2 linked regions of the Macaca fascicularis genome follow. The protein of the gene in region 2 interacts with the protein of the main gene of each other region in a pairwise test. Links are inferred from orthologs where the notes say so. Each region holds a gene or a part of one and is shown on either strand. Other genes may lie near its edges.

Evidence for each region.
Region 1: the proteins of NAA10 (region 2) and KIFAP3 interact in binary tests that used the Homo sapiens proteins (3 or more experiments, as listed by UniProt). The two-hybrid records come from large-scale screens. The link is inferred for Macaca fascicularis from reciprocal best matches to the Homo sapiens genes NAA10 and KIFAP3.

Annotation. Positions count from the first base shown.
Region 1 is NC_088375.1:27,554,989-27,564,253, forward strand, and holds the end of KIFAP3 (kinesin-associated protein 3), read right to left. Parts: intron 8,384-9,265; coding exon of another isoform or gene 8,338-8,383; exon of another isoform or gene 8,315-8,337; intron 8,288-8,314; coding exon of another isoform or gene 8,260-8,287; exon of another isoform or gene 6,879-8,259; intron 4,301-6,878; coding exon 4,195-4,300; 3' UTR 3,847-4,194; downstream 1-3,846. UniProt on the Homo sapiens protein: Involved in tethering the chromosomes to the spindle pole and in chromosome movement. Binds to the tail domain of the KIF3A/KIF3B heterodimer to form a heterotrimeric KIF3 complex and may regulate the membrane binding of this complex.
Region 2 is NC_088395.1:159,991,413-160,001,125, forward strand, and holds the end of NAA10 (N-alpha-acetyltransferase 10), read right to left. Parts: intron 9,309-9,713; coding exon 9,210-9,308; intron 8,824-9,209; coding exon 8,765-8,823; intron 7,405-8,764; coding exon 7,359-7,404; intron 7,252-7,358; coding exon 7,136-7,251; intron 6,936-7,135; coding exon 6,891-6,935; intron 5,643-6,890; coding exon 5,558-5,642; intron 5,018-5,557; coding exon 4,781-5,017; 3' UTR 4,715-4,780; downstream 1-4,714. Other genes in the region: ARHGAP4 (rho GTPase-activating protein 4), read right to left, coding at 982-1,048. UniProt on the Homo sapiens protein: Catalytic subunit of N-terminal acetyltransferase complexes which display alpha (N-terminal) acetyltransferase activity. Acetylates amino termini that are devoid of initiator methionine.

The sequences.
Region 1 (9,265 bases), on a different chromosome or scaffold from region 2:
CTTTATCCCAAATAGGAGGGCAGTGCTGCTGTACTCCGAGAACACATCGCAAAGTCTAGTGCATTATCATTTCAATTTTGTAGCTTTTAAATTACCTACCTAGATTGTGGTGATAATTAATTTTAGGATTAAGAAAAGTTAAGAAATACTTAGCTGGAAAATCATTATTTCTGGTTGTTTGTGAGGGGGTTTCTGGAGGAGACTGGCATGTGAGTTGGTGGACTGCATAAAGAACACCCATCCTTGATGTGGCTGAGCACCATCCAATTGGCTTAAGGTCCAGATAGAAGAAAAAGACAGAGGAAGGGCAAATTTGTTCTCACTCTCCTGGAGCTGGGACACCCTTCTTTTGCCCTTGGACATCAGAACTCCAGGTTCTCTGACCTTCAGACTCTAGGACTTGCACCAGCAGTCCCAGGTCCTCAGACTTCCAGCCTTGGACTAATAAGTTACACCATTGGCTTCCTTGGTTCTGAGGCTTTCCGACCTGGACAGCCACACTACTGGCATCCCTGGTTCTCTTGCTTATAAACGACCTGTCATGGGACTTCTAAGCTCTACAATCATGTAAGCCAATTGCCCTAATAAATCCTCTCTCTCTCTCCTAATTTCTCTCTCTCCCTCCCTTGCTTCCTCTTTCCCTCCCTCCTGTTGGTTCTGTCTCTCGGGAGAAACCTAACTACTACACATGTCTATGTGGGATTTTAGATATTTTAGGAGAAAACAGTATTTTCAAATTTTCCACTAAACTAGCAACAAAGACATAGAAGAACACAGTAATTCACCTCACTAAAAACCTCAATGTATCCTCAATGATAGAATTTGGGAAGACTTGCCGATAACTAGGTCAGTTGACTAGGTTAAAGAAGAAAAACAGGCTGGGCGCGGTGGCTCACACCTGTTATCCCAGCACTTTGGGAGGCCGAGGTGGGTGGATCACTTGAGGTCAGGTGTTTGAGACCAGCCTGGCCAACATGGTGAAACCCCATCTTTACTAAAAATACAAAAATTAGTCAGGCATTGTGGCAGGTGCCTGTAATCCCAGCTACTCGGGAGGCTGAGGCATGAGAATCGCTTGGACCCAGGAGGTGAGGTGGAGGTTGCAGTGAGCCGAGATAGTGCCACTGCACTCTAGCCATGGCAACAGACAGAGACTCTGTCCCAAAAGAAAGGGGGCTGGAGAAAAAAAAAAAAAGAAAAACAAACCTCCAGCTACCACTTGGGGAAAAAGTAGGCAGACAGTTTCTATTTCTCTCTTGTTGTTTTGTGACTTAAAATATACAGGATCTGTAAAATCCTGAAGATCAGGTAGCTAATAACAATTAAGCTTGGAAGAAGAAACAGATTCTGAAAGTAGGTCTTCAGTTGGTTTGAAGAAAAAACACTCTTTTCTGTGGGACCTTCTGAGAGTTTGGCCTCATCTTAGAATTCTAAAGATTCCTGAGTATTTCTGGTGGCACAGGGCAAGTTAGCCCTGCCATGCAGGCCAGGTGAGAGCCTTGTGACTGTTGGCTCTTGTAATAATAGCAAGTTATTTTGCATGATATCTCTCTTCCCTTATTACTTATATCTCTGTAAAGTCATGATGAAACATATAGCTTTAGTTTCTGTTGTGCTGTGCAGATTTAAGCAACAGGTGTGTCACACACATGGAAGGGAATAAGAAAGGGGAGAGCAGTGTCATCTTCCCAGGTCCTAAGTGGAGGGAGCAGTGGTTCTCCCATGTGGAGGGCAGCTGTGATCTCATGAGGATCATGAACACAGAGAAAGCCGTGTAGGGGGAAGAGGAGGAACCATAATATGAGAAACCTATTCCTGGGCCTATGTGAGTAAGCACCTTAATGAACTCTCAGAAAGAGCAAAGAACTCTGGAGAAGAAATAATTTTCAGCTATAAATCAGGGCTTGAAGCCATGACAATTTAGTTATTAAAATAAATCTGACCTAAATTTGTAGTCAAAATGTGGTGAGGACAGGATATTCGTCTTACTACATAAAATGTATTTCTAAAAGTGCCCAAGGCCAAAACCTTTTGTTCTCTGAAGTATGTAAAAATATTAGGCTGGGCATGGTGGCTCATGCTTGTAATCCCAGCACTTTGGAGGCTGAGGCAGGTGGATTACTTGAGCTTAGGAGTTCGAGACCAGCCTGGGCAACATAGTGAGACCTCGTCTCTACAAAAAGTAAACAAAAAATTAGCCCAGTGCAGTGGCACATGCTTGTAGTCTCAGCTACTTGGGAGGCTAAGGTGGGAGGATCACTTGAGCCTGGGAGGCTGAGGCGGCAGTGAAAGGTGACTGTGCCACTGCACTCCAGCCTGGGTGACAGAGCAAGACCCTGTTTTAAAACAAATCTTTTTTTAGATAATCTTCCTTATTAATCTCTTTAGAAAAACACTCCTTCATAAATAATGCAATGGTAAACCAGTTCATACCTGAGTGGAAACAATTTTTAAATTTGTTAAGTCCTAAACTAATGAAAAAAAATTAGGGAGAGTGAGTATGTGCATGTAAAATTCAGTGAGCATAGCCCTGGGAATGTTATCAATTTTGGGGGGTGTTCTTCCTAAAGCAGTTTATAACAACATGAGGGAAGTTAAAGCTATAGGATGTTTGCATCATTTTCCTATTAATGTCACTTATGTGTATTTATACTTTGTATGCATGAAAATAATAAAACAAGGTATTTAGTATTGAGATTGCTGAATAGGAAGCAAAGAGACAGGCTATGTCATTGACTAAGTCACTTAACCTCTCCTGGCCACAGTTTTTTTGACTGCAAAAAGAGTTGGACAGGGTTGCTTCTAAGGCCTTTTCCAGCTTTAATATTTTATGGTTAAAATAGAAACTAAGACAAATAAATGTATGTTTTCAGAAAGATCAAAGGCATAAACATAAACATAAGCATCCCCTAAGGTGCATTATATACTTCCTTACACATAGCAGGTAGTCAGGAAAATATCTGTTGATTACATTTAAATTCTTTATGTGATTGGTTTCTTAAATAAGTAGGCAGACTGAGTTATTTCAAAGGCCTTTTCCAAATGTTATCCTCTGCTTAAAATGTAATTTAAGCCAAATAAATAGTGTACTTAGATCAACGAGATTTTAAATTCAAGAATAGAAGTCTTATCTTTGATCTATGTATTCCCTTTGAAGCTTCATATTTCCTTCCATAGCAGGTGATCATGGAACTATCTCTGATTATAGTTATTATTATGGTTATTTGTTTGCTTAGTTTTTCAAGTAGAATTGAACATTTTTCTCAATATGAAAACACTGAATTACTTTTAAAACTCATTATTATATAATGTCCATCCATTTCTTGCTATCTAAAGCTATGTTATAAAAACAAGTGAATAATTGGGAACTGGGTACCAAAGTGAGTGAAATATTCTGTTCCTTAGTTTTCCATAATGAGACTTTTAATTAGCTTTCCCATGGTTTAGATACTAAATTTATGAAGAATAAAAGTTAAAAGCCAAATGCTAATCTTGTATCACCGCTTGTCTTGTATACTAGTTGTCCTAGGATTTCTATATTACAACCAGGAAGACATGAATTAAAACCTCTGAAGAGACTATAACCATAAATAACTTATGGCATATGTTCCATTATTAATTGAAAACTCATAGTTAATAAACTTTGGGAAGGAAACTTTCAGGCACATGGCATGGAATATGAAGGTGATGTTCTTTTTATAAATTATAAAGGTAGCATATATTATATGAATTACTCAAGACTTTACAAGCAGAAAAAAAGGACAAAAAATAAAACTCATGTGCACCCTATGTTAACATGTAATTCGTAATGAAACGTGTGAAATATAAACACATGACTTTCACTTATTCATTTTCACTTTATACTTTTTAATTGAAATTAAATTAGTCACTTAACGTACATAATGCAGTGTTTCTTTTCCAGTCTAGTAGCTTTTCAGCATTCAGTTTTGAGGCTCATGGGAAATGTTACTCAGTATCAAGATGTGGTTTGATGAGTGAACAATGTCAGTATCGACTGTACTTAACAGAAGACAGAAGGGGCTGGGGTTAATCTGCAGCTAACAACATATAAAAATAAAAATAAACACAGACCCACAATAACATCAACATGCATTATTAGGCAAAGATCCAAAATTCACCCAACCCACACAGATTTCTTCTAAGCTGAGGTAACGCATGGAAACAGATACTTTATCAAGATCCATAGCCATAGTAGTAAGGTTCATCAGGGCGGAATCCATATGCTGTGGCAGGGCGTCCAAGAATGCCAACTGGTTGGCCAAAGCCATCCATTCCAAGGCTAAAAAAGAGAAAAAGGAAAGATAAGCTACGTTTTTCATCACACATCCACAATGCAGATTAAGAGGCCTAGATTTTTATACCACCAACATTCTCCTCCTAGCAGGGATAGTGATTTATTGTGGATATCACTAACTTTTTTTTCTTAAGGTTAATAGAGCCATTAAAAGTGTATATAATAAAATACTTCTAACAATGTGTGTTAAAAGTATGAGAAACCTCTGTCAGTAGGTACTATTCTAAACAAAGTGGAAGAATCAAGTTAGAAAAGTTTTATTTAATGAATTACTTATATATGGCTCTTAAGCAAAAATATGAAAAGATTTTACATGCTAGCAATGATCAGTAATATATTGCTAGGGAATGATAAAAATAAAACTGTAGTAAAGTGAGTTTTGCTGTTTATAATGTCTTTTCATATGACGATATGGGACTAATTCCACTTTTAGTAAAAACATGTGTTTGAGTTGTATCAGTGAACTCTCATGCAGGGCCAAATCATACCATAAGCCTATGATTAAAAGAACAAGATAAGGAATTTGACAAAATGTGAAAATTAGTCAGATTTGATCTGCAAATCCTTCCTCTGATTCCTCAATGCAAACAATTACAAAAAGTATCTATTTCTTTTGAGTGACAGCAAGGCAATTACAAATTCTGGTTCAACTTATTCTATGGAAAAAACAGAAACCCAAAGATAACCTTCAGAGCTGTAAAGATAGCTTCAAGTATGTTAAACTTCATGATTATTAAAAAAATTACTTGTTGATCTATTAATACATTATTTAGAGGAAAATCTGTTCTCCAAAGTCCTTTTTAAAGGTCAGGGAATTATCCGACACTTAGGAAAATGACAAAGTATTAATGTTACCAGGCAGAATATGGTGGCCTTAACATGCTCATGCATAGCTCATGCAGTGAATGCTAGTGAGCTTGACTTCCAATCAATAGAAACCATTTGTAATGCAGAAATGTAAGTTTTGGAAAAATAAAACATATTTAAATGATTTAAGTTTGCACTACATGAGGAGATGGAAAGATAATTTTCCCTCAATAGCAAAAGCTGAATCTGATGAAAAAATATATTCACACAGGCACTAACTCTCTGTCACACTCAGAGTGAGATTAAGTTGACACACTTTAGAAGTAACTATTAAAATGTGAAGGTTTTAAATAAATGTGTGTATGTGCATGTGTGCGTGTGCACGCATGCTGGTGTGTATTAAGATGGAACTAAAGAGTAAATGTAAAGAGCCAAAATACATATAACACATACTGGTCCAGTGACTCTACCCTTTAGGAGAATGGAAGTTCTGAAATACAAGTTTCAGGTTAGCATTTGTACTGAGCAGTCCTGGACACAATTTATTGTTTTGGGCTCCTCCTACATCAAAACTTTGTCTATAGTTTCTCAAAGTTGGTTGAAATTTTTAAGTCTACATTTTATTTTGAAATGGTAAAAATATAAGCACCTTTTCTTACTTTGGTCTCATGGGAAGAGAGACTAAATTTTGTGATGAGGGAATCAAGAGGTAGCTTAACAGATGTTTCAGAAATTAATGGAGTCAGTGAACTAAGAGGCACTGGTATCAGCTTAAAATTAGAGTAAAAGTTATTGAAAACCTTTCTCTGCAAGCACTAAGGCTAACAAGTAATTATCTATCTAAAGAACTCTCCATTATACAACTGTTGATTACATAGCTTGGATTTCAACTTGTTCCTTCTTCATCTTTCTGCTTATTACCTGTCTTTAACCAGTCCTTATCGTTTTTAGCAACTCCTCTGAGGCCAAATAGCAGTAAACTTAGGTTAAACACAAGTTAATCTTATGTTCGTTTCTCAATCTGGGGGCTATGGCAAGATCTATTTCAGTAATTTGAAAACAAGAGGCATATATGGGACAGTGAGGAAATATGAAAAGGCACCTTCAAAACAGAGTATCTCACAGATGACTTGTTAGCAATATCACTGTAATTTTATCTAAAAGAAGATGGTCCTCAGAAGGGAGTTTGCCAGTCGTTGGCACAAAACAAGGAGCTTCTCGGCTACAATGCTGGTTGTAGCCACCTAAGCAATTGTGTGGTGATCTGGTAAGCTATAACACCATAAGGAATATCTGGCCTTTTTTGCAGTTTGGTCCTCAGTCAGGAAGGGAATTTAACATTCTCAGAGTCTGAGGCCATTCTACATTCAAGTTGCAAAATTCTCCCCCTTTTTTTTATTTCTATGACTAATAGGCAAACTATTGATCATTGTTTTCCCATGTAATTTGCCAATAGGGTAAATAATAAACTTAGATATTACCTAATCTACCTGATGGTTATAACTTCCATTGTACATTAACAAATGGATTTTTTATTCTTTTTAAAATATGTCATGCACATTGTTGATAAGAATCAGAAGTCCCAAGTCAGTGAAAGAATGACCCTTGAGCACTGATGAGTCTGAGTTTCTGAACCTATAAATCTCTGGTCTTGAACAGCATGGTCTTTAGGTTACTATGGTAAAGATCTATTTATGCAGTCAACAGTTCACCCAGAGACACCTGTGGGTATTACAGTGTAGAGGACATCATTTAATTTTCTGAATTTCTATATACAAATATCATTTGGGGAAAAAGGAATAAAATTTGAAACCAAACTCTAAAATGATCTTTTCTGGAATTCTTCATTATGTATCACAGATGAACTTGCTGTTTAAAGAAAAAAATATTTAAAACATTTATGATCAGTTTAGAGAATACATTGACATAGGTCCTAGGTCCTTTTGTATTATGAAAAATCAACTATATCTACAGAATTAATACATTTTTAATTAAATTCACTGTGAAACAAATAGTTTGTTTCTTTAATCCCTCTCATTTGATTCTTTCTAATATAGTGGGGGAAATTAGGCTTTCCAGGATGCTAAAACCTGGAGATATTCTTTTGGAATATGTAGACACTTTACTTTTTTCCTTGGGAAAAGGATATAGCCTTGCTAATGCTGAGTTTAGTTCAAAACCAGGAGAGTTTTCCTTTAAACAGAAGCAGATAGATTCTTCATGTAAATTCTTGAAGGAGATAGAAACTATGAATATAGAAAGGCAATGTTGCAGCAAAAATTGTGCTTTCCTGATCTGGAAAGACTTGACTTCAATAGTGTGTATCACAGGAATTTGTATGCCCTCACTAGGGGCCCTGAGAAGCAAGGAAAAGTAAGCTGTGATATGCCACATCTGCTCTTGCCTTGTGTGACCATTTTGCTTCAGATACCAGTTTGAATACGTGGCTATTTATAAGTATACTGGAATTTAATCCAATCTTGTAGGGTGCGTGTCTCTGTATGTACATAGTTTCTTCTTGCTACTCCTAACCCACATAAAAAGTGGTGTATCCCTCTAGATTAGTATATGCCACTATTATAGTACTTTTTCTTTACAGGATTGGTTATTTAGTGTCATTTCACCTTTATCCTTAATGTTCAGATAACATATTTTGGACCTTTGAATCACCAAAATACAGTGTCTCTTCCTGAAAATACATAATTCTGGTCCAAAGAAAATAGTTATTGTTTATTGCGAAAAGATAACTAGGAATGATAAGGGCAAAAAGTCAATCTGCCATTAAGTTTTATTTCCCAATAACAATTATTTCTGGGTACCTAGGAAGAAAAATGACAAGTTCTTTAAAAGACAAAAATTATATTTAAAACTCAACAACAAATAGAAAACCACATCTAGAGTGTGTTTTTTAAAATAAATTTAGAAATCTAATTAGCATTCAGCAAGCAGAAGACTGAGTTTTCACTAATATTTACAAGACTTCAAACACATTTGTAATAGCAATCATTAGAATTCTAAACTTGAGATGACTTAGAGCAGGAAAAAAGAAATCTGGAAATGACAAGTGATGCTTCACATGCAGCACATAACAAGGGAATGGCAGCCAGTAAGGAATCCCAGGCACTCACAGGCTCTTATTAAATTTCTGGGCCAGAGTTGACATTCCTGTAGAAAGAGAAGAAAATCACCTACCTCTGGCTGTTTGTGAGGCTTAATTAGTGCGTATTTGTAAAGCACTTTGAAATCCTTGGATGAAAAGTGCTGCATAAGTGAAAAGTATCATTATTTTATTAAAATGAGATAAAAGCAACACAAGTCTTTTTCTTCTTTTAAATTCCTAGGTCAGCAATATCAATGTAGAGCAAGTAATGAATTTATTAGTAAATGGCTACAAAAAAGAATAAATGCAGGCCAAATTATTGTTTCATAGGCTCATGGAAGTCTGACTTGGGAACATTTTAGGAAATAATCTTGGCTACACTTTTATTCACAACATCCTTGACAGGGTCTATCCAGCTCTTGTCTGAACATCTCCAGAAAGAAGTGCTCACTACTTTGTCAAGGCAGTTCATTCCATTTATGGATATGTAAAACTGTTGGAAAGTTCTTTATTACACAGCTCTAAAATCCAGTTCAATTAGTCTTAGAATTACCCTCTGAAACCACACAAGGAGTCCAATTCCTCTTTGATATGACTGTTCCACAGCCCTGGTTTACTCAAGCCTCATTACATGGTCTTCAATCTTTACCATCTCACTTGCTCTCTAAAACCACTTCCATTTTCTAGTGTTTGTCTTCAAATGAAGAAGCTAAAATTAACATGATACTTATGATGTGGTCTGAAACCAGTACAGAATAAAAATCCTATATCTGACTTTATACTATTGTAGGTTAAAACTGTATTAATCTTAAACAAAATTTTTAAGAAGATATTATCACAAAGTTGCCTAATATTGACTGCTTATAATTGTGTATATATGTGTATATGTATATACATAACATTGAGTTGTATGTACTTATATAATATTGTTATATGTAACATTAAGTTTTTAATATATATGTATAGTTGTGTGTGTACACACACACACACATTCAAAATTTACTTATAACTACCATGCTGAATTTCATCTTTTTGGTCTGAGT
Region 2 (9,713 bases):
GCTGGTTCTGGACACAGGCTGCCTTTTCCAAAGGAGGAGGACTGGGGCATACTTTAAAGGGTATAAATTGCTTGCACTGAATAATGATGTTAGAACCTACATCTCTGGGTTGAAAGGCACTTCAAGGGTTATTGCATTCTACGTCCTAGAAGTTGTAGTGCTGTGTTACCACGGGCAAGTCATTGCACCTCTCTGAGCTTGTTTCCGTAACTGGTAAAATGGAGTGATTGAGAGTGATATGGAGGAGCTGCTGGCACTGAGATGCTGCCTCTTTCCTTTGCAAGAGTTACCATGCCCTGAATAAGATGGGCACAAGCTATTGGCTAAGAATTTGCAAAGCTGATTTGCATGTGATTTGCACATGGGTGTTTATCAGAACCCAAAGAGGTTCAATTTCAGAAGGCTGAGAAGCCAGCCCTGTTAAATCTCTCAACCAAGACTCACTGCGCCAGCTTGACCCAGAGACAGTGGCCCTTGCCTCTGATCCCCCTCAGTGCTAAAGGGGGGCAAAAGGTGCTGAGGCTCCAGGGACTACACTGGGGTTAGGGCCAGGTGATCTCCACCAATCCACTTACCCAGACTCCCTTACTCACCCCCCACCCCCCACCCCCTAGCCCAATCAAGGTGGTTGACTTCACTGTAGCTAAACTACCGCCTTCTGGGGGGCACGTTGGTACATCCGGCTCCCCTTTACCGGCGGCCACCAGTGTCTACACTGAACCTTGGGTGAGGAGCAGAGACCCAAGGAGGACAAAGACCAAAAGAAGGAAGACAGGAAAGAAGGAAGGGAAGATGGCAGGCGGTTGAGGCCAAATGGGCGTGGGGAGGCAGGCAAGAGGCTCAGGCTCCCTCCTCCACCCCCACTCCAGAGGTCGCTGGGGAGAGCATCGGGCCCTGGGTCAGCGCGGGGACGCTTGGGGCTCCCTCACGACCTTGGGGTCTCCGCAGGAAACGGGCCGGGAGCGCCCGGCGCCCTCTCACCTTTGACTTGCGTCTCATACTCAGCCTGCAGCCCCCGCTCCCGCCGCAGCTTCCCGTGAGCGGCCATGGCGGCCTAGCGGCCGCGCCGTCGAACCCCACTGCTCCCACGCGGCCGTGAGTGGGCCCGGCGCCGGGACTTGGGGGCGCTGCGGCCAGCACCCTGCGCGGGCTCCGCCCAGCCCCGCCCCCAGCGCGGCTCCCGGTGGGGCGGGGCGGCCCAGGGCTGGCACTGCCCGCGAGGGGCTCCTGGGGGCAGGGCGCCCCTTCCAGCCCCACTGTGCCCCGGTCTTGCCGTCTCCTCCCACTGGGCCTGCACCTAGACTGCCTTGTGCCCAAAGCCCCGCTGCCAAGCAGCCGGAGCGGGCATGAGAGCCCCAACATAAGCTGGCATCCCAGGCTGCCATCCCCCCACCTCCAGAAGGCTGTCCCTGGTCACCACTGCCAGACTGCACAGTTCACAGCGGGGCCGCTGGCCCACAGTACCAGTGGACATGAACACCATTGCTGCCCCAGTCTCTGGACTCCCCCTGGGTGGCCTGCTTCCCCCAGACATCGGATGGGGTCCTCCCTTCCCAAGTCAGCCCCCAGAGAGGTCCAAGGAGCCTTGAGAGCTGGGGTGGGAAGTTCAGAGGGGAGGGGGAAGGAAGGTCAGCACCAGAGAGCAGAACCTCAGCAGCTGGCTGCCATTCCCTCCAGGCCCCCTTGGTAGGGGAGGAGAGTTCAGCTCCGGTTCCCCTTCTGCTCAGCCCCACGATTTCCCCATAGGCGGTTACCACTTCCTGCTGCCGGAAGAGACTGCTCTGCCTCCCTTCCCCTGCAGCTGCACCTGCCCGTCATAGGCCTGAGGGGGGCAGCCCCCTCGGAGTAAGATCTTAGCTACCCTGGGGGCAAGTCTTGGGGCCTCCCTCATCCACGGGTGGTGGGGCTTTCCTCCACTCTCTACCACAGGGCAGCAGCTTTTCTCCGGGAAATCGGGAAGGCAGGAGGCAGAAGGCGGTTGACAAGTCAAGCAGACAACTTACTTCAATTTGGTGGGAGGGAAATCCCTGGGGTATAGATGTGGGGAGAGGGGCAAGGCACTTGGGCACCAGGCGTCTGTTCCGAAGGCGGGCCTGCGGGCACTAGTGCAGGGGTACTAGGCGTGTGTTTGCACGCATGTCAGAGTAAGGCTCTGTGCAAATGTGGGCACATATGACCCTGACCTGCAGATCTGGGGACGAGAGGCTGTGCGGGTACTTCCTGCCTTTCAACTAGGAGCAATTAATTCTCTTGCCCAGAAGGGAAAAAACACTCCCTCACCTCCCCTCCCCCTTCTCCCAGTACCAAGGCCCTTCCCGAACACGTCGTCGAGTGTGTCTGCAGGACCTGGTGCTTCAAGGCCTGGGAGCTAGCCAGACCCAGGCAGGCCCAGGACCTGGACTTCCAGCAGCTGCCCTCGGAAGTACCGATGTTCGAGTTCTCCAGAGAGACTAGAGAGCCTGCGCCCCTGCCTACAGCCGCACCCACACCCTAACCTGCTCCTGGTTGGGAGACTCCCACGTCCCACCTCTGCCTCAGGCCAAGGGGAAGCAGGGACCCCCGCCCCTCACTAGCTGGCCCCCACACACCCTGCCCCTCCATCCGAGCCCCGACTGGTCCCCAAAGATCCCTCCACCCAGCAGAGCCAGATACAGGGCTCAGGCAGGCAGGAAAGGCCTCAGTCCGTGCCTTCAAACGCTCTCTTCGCTCTTTTTTTCACTCCAGAGCTATTCCTAGGATGCCCCATTCAGCCCGTGCTTTAGAGCCTGAGTGTTTGGCCCAGGCTTTTAGGGCACTTGTTTGGCATTTAAGGCCCTGAACGCAACTGCCCCCTGCTGCTCGCTCTATCCTTCGCTCCATTGTTCCCCTTCAAAGCATTCAAAAGCCAGGCAGCCCGCAGAAGGCGGGGACCTGTCCGCCTGGGGACGGAGGGAGCGGCCGACAGGCATCGGGCCCGCCAGGGACGGATGGCAGAGGGCGGGCCGGGTCCAGAGGGCCGGGCAGGGGCGGAAGGAGGGCGCCGCGGACGCCGTGGGAGCTTGGGCCAGCTCCCTTCCACCGGCGCCGGGGCGCGGCCGAGGCAGTGCGCAAGCCCGCCCTTCCCCCGCACCCCACGCGCAGAACCCAGAGCCGCCGGACCAATCAGAGCCTGGGAACGAAGCTTGCCGCGGGCTTGCGAACCGGAAGACACTGACGCCAGGCGCGGGGCGGGCCAGAGCTCCGCCTCCGGCCCATACAAAGGGAAGCCCACGTCTTAAGCCAATCAGAACACAGCCTCGCCCGAGCCGCGAACCGGAGAGCTGCGGGCGTGCGCAGACGCGCCTTTCCGGCCCCGGCCCCGCCCTGCCGGTCTCCGGGCTCCGCTTCCACAGCAGCTGGCTGCCTGCTGGTCACGTGCCAGGCGCCAGCCAAAGAGAACCGAGCTCCAGGTCTGTTTGGCGAATTTTCAACCTGGCGGAGGAGCAGTGCCACCTGCAGTAGCAGGGTACACAGAGGGCTCAGGAATACAGGGCCCGCCCAGGGACTAGGAACAGCAAGCGATGGCTTTGCAGCCGGAGGGAAGGGAAGGGAGGAGACACAGGAGAGAGCGTTACGGTTAGGGTGACTCCATGAAAAACAGGATTTTGATGTGTGTGTATGTATTTATTTATTTATTTAGAGACGGGTCTCTGTCCCTGGAGTGTGGTGGCGTGATCAGAGCTCACAGCAACCTCCACCTCCCGGGCTCAAGGGATCCTCCTGCTTCAGCCTCCCGAGTAGCTGGGATTACAGGCGTGCACCACCACACCCGGTTTTCTATTTTTAGTAGAGATGGGGTTTCGCCATGCTGCCCAGGCTGGTCTCCAACTCCTGAGCTAAAGTGATCCGCCCACCTCGGCCTCCCAAAGTGCTGTGATTACAGGCATGAGCCACCGCACCCAACAGCCACCCAGTTTTGTATTCTGCATGAAATTATTTTGAGGGAATAAATGGCTTTATGTATTTGTGTAACCCCATAGAAACTGTACAACACAGACAGGAAACCTAATGTAAACCATGGGCTATAGTTTACAATAACTTATCAGTATTAGCTCATCAACAATAACAAATACACCAACTAATACAAAATGTCAATAGGGCAAACGGGGGGAAATTGTACTAAAAATAAATTATTTTCAAATGCAAACTCAGGGAGTAGACTCAAGAGGTATCATGGACTCACTGACCATTAGGGTGGCAGGGAAGGGAGGACTCAAGGACCGTTGACAGGGCGTCTGGCTGGGTCATTATACTCAGGACAGCTGTAGATAAGCCCAATGAGCAGTCAGATGTCCACATCTGGAGCCCACGGCTATGCCGCAGAGCTGCTGTAGCCCAAAGCAGGTGTGATTAGGGAGAGAAAAGGTCTGAAGGTGAAGATGGGAGGAGAACTGAAGGATACCAAGAGTGGGAGCCCTGCTGTTGAGCTTTGAGCCTAAGCGGCCCAGGCTTATGCCACAAAACACATTCAGCGTGGCCAAGCAGACCTCCAAGGCAGGGTCTCTCCCTAAGCCCAGGGCCTCCTTCCCGGGGCCACAGCTGCTGAAGGCCATGAGACTGGGGAGTCCCACCTCCAAAGCTCTTCCCTTCTATTCGGACTGGCAGGATGCTCTGGGTCAAAAGGCTGAGGCTCACCTCCCCACCAGAGGACCTGGAGAAACACACCCTCTAAATGTGCACACGCACACACACGAAGTTCCCCAGTGCCACGGAGCGAATTTATTGTGAAAGCTCGTGGGGTGAGGAAGGGATGGGGCAGGCTCTAAGAGGCCGAGTCGGAAGCCTCTGAGCTGTCCTTGACATCTGTGCTCTCTGTGGTCTCGCTGACCTCGCTGAGGTCCTTGCTGTCCCCACCACTATCCTCGGCAGCCAGGCCCTTCTCCTCGCGACAGGCCTCTCCTGAGCTCGGAGGTGAATTGCCTTTGCTCTCCACCTTGTTCTCGATGGCACCCAGCACCACATGCCTGCCCTTCTCCTTCAGCTCCAGGTGCCGCCTCAGCTGCCACCAGGAACCCAGGGAGAAGCAGGAGGTAAAGAGATGGGGCCTAAGTTTCCAGACAAAGGGAGCCTGGCCCTGTCGCTGGCTGAGGAGAGGGGCATAGTGAGGCAGCAGGGCTAGGCAGGACACGTGGGACTGAGTGGGGACACCTGGCTGGAGCCCCAGTCCACTGCTACCTGGGCTCACTGACTACCACGGAGGCCCCCACGACACAGCGTTGCCCCTTGACCAGCCCTGCCACCCAAGGAGCCTGGGGCAGAACCCTGACTCAGAACTACCTCTGAGCAGGCAGGCCACCCACTGGTCCCCAGGCCTCCCCACTTCCCTTCTAAAAGCCTCCTCCCTCTGCCTCTCCCATCACCCTCCAGGCTGCTAGGCAGATGGCCTCCTCTAAAGCCCAACCTAGGAAACTGAGGTCGTGACTCCTGGCAACATAGCCACAAGGGCTGGCATTCAAAGTTGGTCGCACCTCCAGCCACTGTCTCGGGGCTCCCCAATGCCACCCCCGCTTGCCTGGCTTGGCTTCATGCAGGCTCTTACCTCGTCGGCCATCTGAGTGAGGTCTCGCTTCATGGCATAGGCGTCCTCCCCATCTGCATAGTATTTGGGCTCCACTTCACTGATCCTGGGGGCAGAGGGTAGAGAGCAAGGAGGAAGACCCATACCTGGGGGACACCCTCCTCCACTCCTGGTATCATGGCTACTGGAGCAAGATGCCGTGTTTTCTCCCTGAAGGGCTCCTTTCTGAGACAGCAAGTCCGGTGTGACCTGCCCTCTGTTCTCTCCAGCAAAGGCTCCAGGAAACAGCGGCCCGCCCCACCCCTGTCCTGCCCCCGTTCTGTGTCCTTAGCCTGGCTACTAAGGATTCATTTCTGTGGTTTCTTGTGAGCTGAATTCCTGAATTCAGCCTTCCCCTTCCCTCCCTGCCCTGCGTCCTGTCCCTTACTGAGCTGCCTCTCAACAGCCATCAGAACCCAGGAAAGACAGTGAGCTCTGTTTAGGGGAGTCATCCCTAGGCAGCACGGGCCCTGCCTGAGCAGCTCAGGGGCCATGCCTGCACTGGGGAGGCATGTGTGCAGACTCGGGTGGCCATGTCCCTGGAAGGGGAGCTGGACTCAATGGCCTAGGCTGGCCCTGCCAGGCCTAAGACATGAGGATTGTTGACTTAGCTATAAAGCAGTTCCCACCAGACATCCTCATCTGGGTCACAGATCCCTCTTGCCAGCATCCAGCCCAGAGGCCACTGCCCTTCCCAACAGTCCCTCCTCTTCACCCCTACCAAACAGGGGCTGACTGCAGTTAGTGTCCCTCCACGGGCAGCCCACCCCAGCTTCACTTGCAAGCACTTTTTTCCACTGTCTACTGGGCATGCTGACTGCCAGGTCCTCTCTCCTGTGCTAGGCACACGGGGCCTCCCGGTCCTCAGGCAGACCTGCCCCATCCACTAGGCTGCCTGGCCGCCGGTCCTTCCTTCCTGAACGTGCATTCTCCTTGATTCTGCTCTCTCTTGGATTCTTCCAGGTGCTTGGCCATGCTATGATCTGCTCACGCCAGGGACCCACACCTCTTTATTCCCAAACATTACTAAACAGCCCGTGTGCCCTTCACCAGCCTCTGCCAGCATGGGCCAGAGCTCCTCCATCACAACACACACGGAGCACGTTTCAGCAGGCAGGTGCTGTCTCCATGCCGGCTTTTCAACCATCAGCCACCGAGTGAATGTGGAGGCATCCTGGCAGCACTGGGGTCCACAGCGTCCTCCCCACATCCGGCCCACCCCTAGCCTGGAAGGCAACTCAGCCGGTCTCAGGTGCCCTGGTGGGCCAGACCTGGGGCCAACCCCAGCCCACGAGAAAACTCGAGATCTACTTACTGAAAGTTGAGGGTGTTGGAATAGAGGTGCAGGGCGGCCCGGTTACTGCAGGGGAACAAGGCACTGCTGAGCTGCACGGACATGGCCAGGGAGGGGTAGCACGTCCAGTGCCTGCCCCTCCTCTTGGTCCCTCCTTCACCCCAATCCCACTTCCTGGATCTTCACCAAAAGCCGAGGTACCCCAGGACCCCCGTCAAGGCAATATCTCTCCCCCTCAATCCCCCTTCCCTCAGCCCGGCTTCCACCTCTTCCTGACATGCAGGGAGACGTATTTGGCATTGAAGTTCTCTATCATGGCTCGAGAGGCCTGGTCCATCAGTTTCTGAGCCAGACCGAGGCGCCGGTGGGAACGCTTCACAGCCTGGTAGGAGAAGAGCAGAGAGCGGGTGAAGGACTGGGACCTTGAGGGCTGCCTCAACTAACCCCCACTTCCACCCCCACCAGAGAGCCTGAGTGAACCTTACATACCAATGAAGTGATATGTCCATGGGGCACATCATCTGGGTCCTCTTCCCTGGAGAGGGAGAAAGCAGAGGCTGCAAAGGAGCTCAGTGTAGGCACAGCCACCCCCACCCCCCGCCATCTGTAAAGTGGATATGCAAATTCTAGGCTGGCCCTACAGCCCCCTAAGACCCCAGCTCGGGGAGAGCCAGGAGCCTCTTGGATCAGAGCAGCTGATCCTGCCACCCTCTACTGCCTGAAAACCCCATGCCTGCCAGGTATGGGGCACACGCCTATAGTTCCAGCTACTCGGCAGGCCGGGTCAAGAGGATTGCTTGAGCCCAGGAGTTCGAGACCAGCCTGGACAACACTTTTTTTGTCTCTACAAAAAAAAAAAAATCAAAAAATTAGCTGGGTGTGGTGGCGCATGCCTGTGGTCTCAGCTACTTGGGAGGCAGAGGTGAGAGGATCACTTGAGCCTGGGAAGTTGAGGCTGCAGTGAGCCATGATCATGCCACTACACTCCAGCCTGGGCAACAGAGCAAGACCCTATCTCAAAAAATAAAAATAAAAAAAGAAATGAGCTGTCAACCCATGCAAAGACAAGGCAGAAGCTTAAATGTGCACTACTAAGTGAACAAAAGCCAGCCTGAAAAGGCTGTATACAGTATGATTCCAACTCTATGACATCCTGGAAAAGGCAAAAACTATGCAGACAGTAAAAAACCAGTGGTTGCCAGGGGTTAAGAGGAAGGGATAAATGCGTGGAACACAGTGAAACTATCCTGTGATAATACAAAGGTGGACACATATCATTTGGTCAAAACCATGGGGCTTACAACACAAAGAGAAGTGCAGGGGGGTTTAGTTAATATTAATATATCGGCTGGGTGCAGTGGCTAACGCCTGCGATCCTAGCACTTTGGGAGGCTGAGGTGGGTGGAACACCTGAGGTCAGGAGTTCGAGACCAGCCTGGCCAACATAGTGAAACCCCATCTCTACTAAAAAAATTAAAAAATTAACCAGGTGTGGTGTCACATGCCTGTAATCCCAACTACTAGGAAGGCTGAGGCAGGAGAATCACTTGAACCCAGGAGGTGGAGCTTGCAGTGAGCCAAGATCACGCCACTGCACTCCAGCCTGGGCAACAGAGCAAGACTCCGTCTCAAAAAAAATAATAATAATAATAGTAATATATCACATTAGTTTATCACTTGTCACAAGCGGACCACACAAATCCAACAAGCTACTAATAGAGGAAACTGGCAGGGAGGGAATGCTGAGGGGTTCTATGGAACTCCATGTCCTTTCTATTCAATTTTTCTATAAACTTTCAACTGTACTGAAAAGAAAGAGCCTATTCATTTTTTTAAAGCCCACAGAGGCATCCACCAGACACGTGTAGCTTCTCTCTTCCTCCTTGGTGACTCACATTTTGGCCAGGACATACCCCACAATCTTCCCATTCTCGTCCTCAGCAATGTAAGAGAGCTGGTGACAGAGAGGAAAAGGGAGTGAGAAAACTTCATGTTGGAGCTGGAGGAGCCCTTTAGAGGGACACAAGCTGGACGAGTGGCCAGTTGTGTGATGGCTCATGACCTCCAGGCTGGGTGACTTGGTCTCCCCCGCGCCACACTGTGCCCTGCCCATGCCCAGAAAGAAGATGCAATGTGGGGATCCTGCCCGATGCCCCTATTCTCTGCTCCCTTCAGGCGCCTTCTTTTCCTTTGCCCCTGCCTGCCAGCTGAAAACACTAGGGACGTCACCAACCATACAGCCCCCTGGGCTCTGACAGACTTGTCCACTCCCTCCAAGATGGCCCGATTGGATTTTCCTCGGCCTGGTTTCCCCCACGCCCAAATTCAGAAGCTGCCCACCTGGGGCCAGGAAAGGCCATGGTAGAAGTAGTATTTCATCTGGTAGTTCTCGGGCAGGCAGAGGAGGTTGCAGTGCTGCATGTTCATTAGGTCCTCTGGCTGCAAGGAAGGAGGGCAGTGGAACGCGCTCAGTCCAAGGCGCCGGTGACCACGGGTGAGAAGTCTGCTCCCCGTCGGTCTGCTCGGCCCCCCTCCCTCGGGGCTGAGCAGGCGCTGTGACGATCTGACTTTGCACAACGCCCAGAGCACAGGAACAGCAGTGGGCGCCCGGAGGTCCCCGGAGCCCACCCAACGCAGGCCCGACATCACGCAAACAGGAGGGAATCGCAGCCCCGGCCCCGCGCCCCGGCCTCTTCGGCGGACTGGGCCAGCCCCATAGGTCCAGCGGCCGCAGGCACACGCAGGGCCACCGGGCCGGGCTCGGCCAGGGCCCTCGGGAGCATGCGCAGCAGCCACCGGGCCCGGCGCCCACGCGGCGCGGACAGCCTCCCGCCCCGGGCGCTC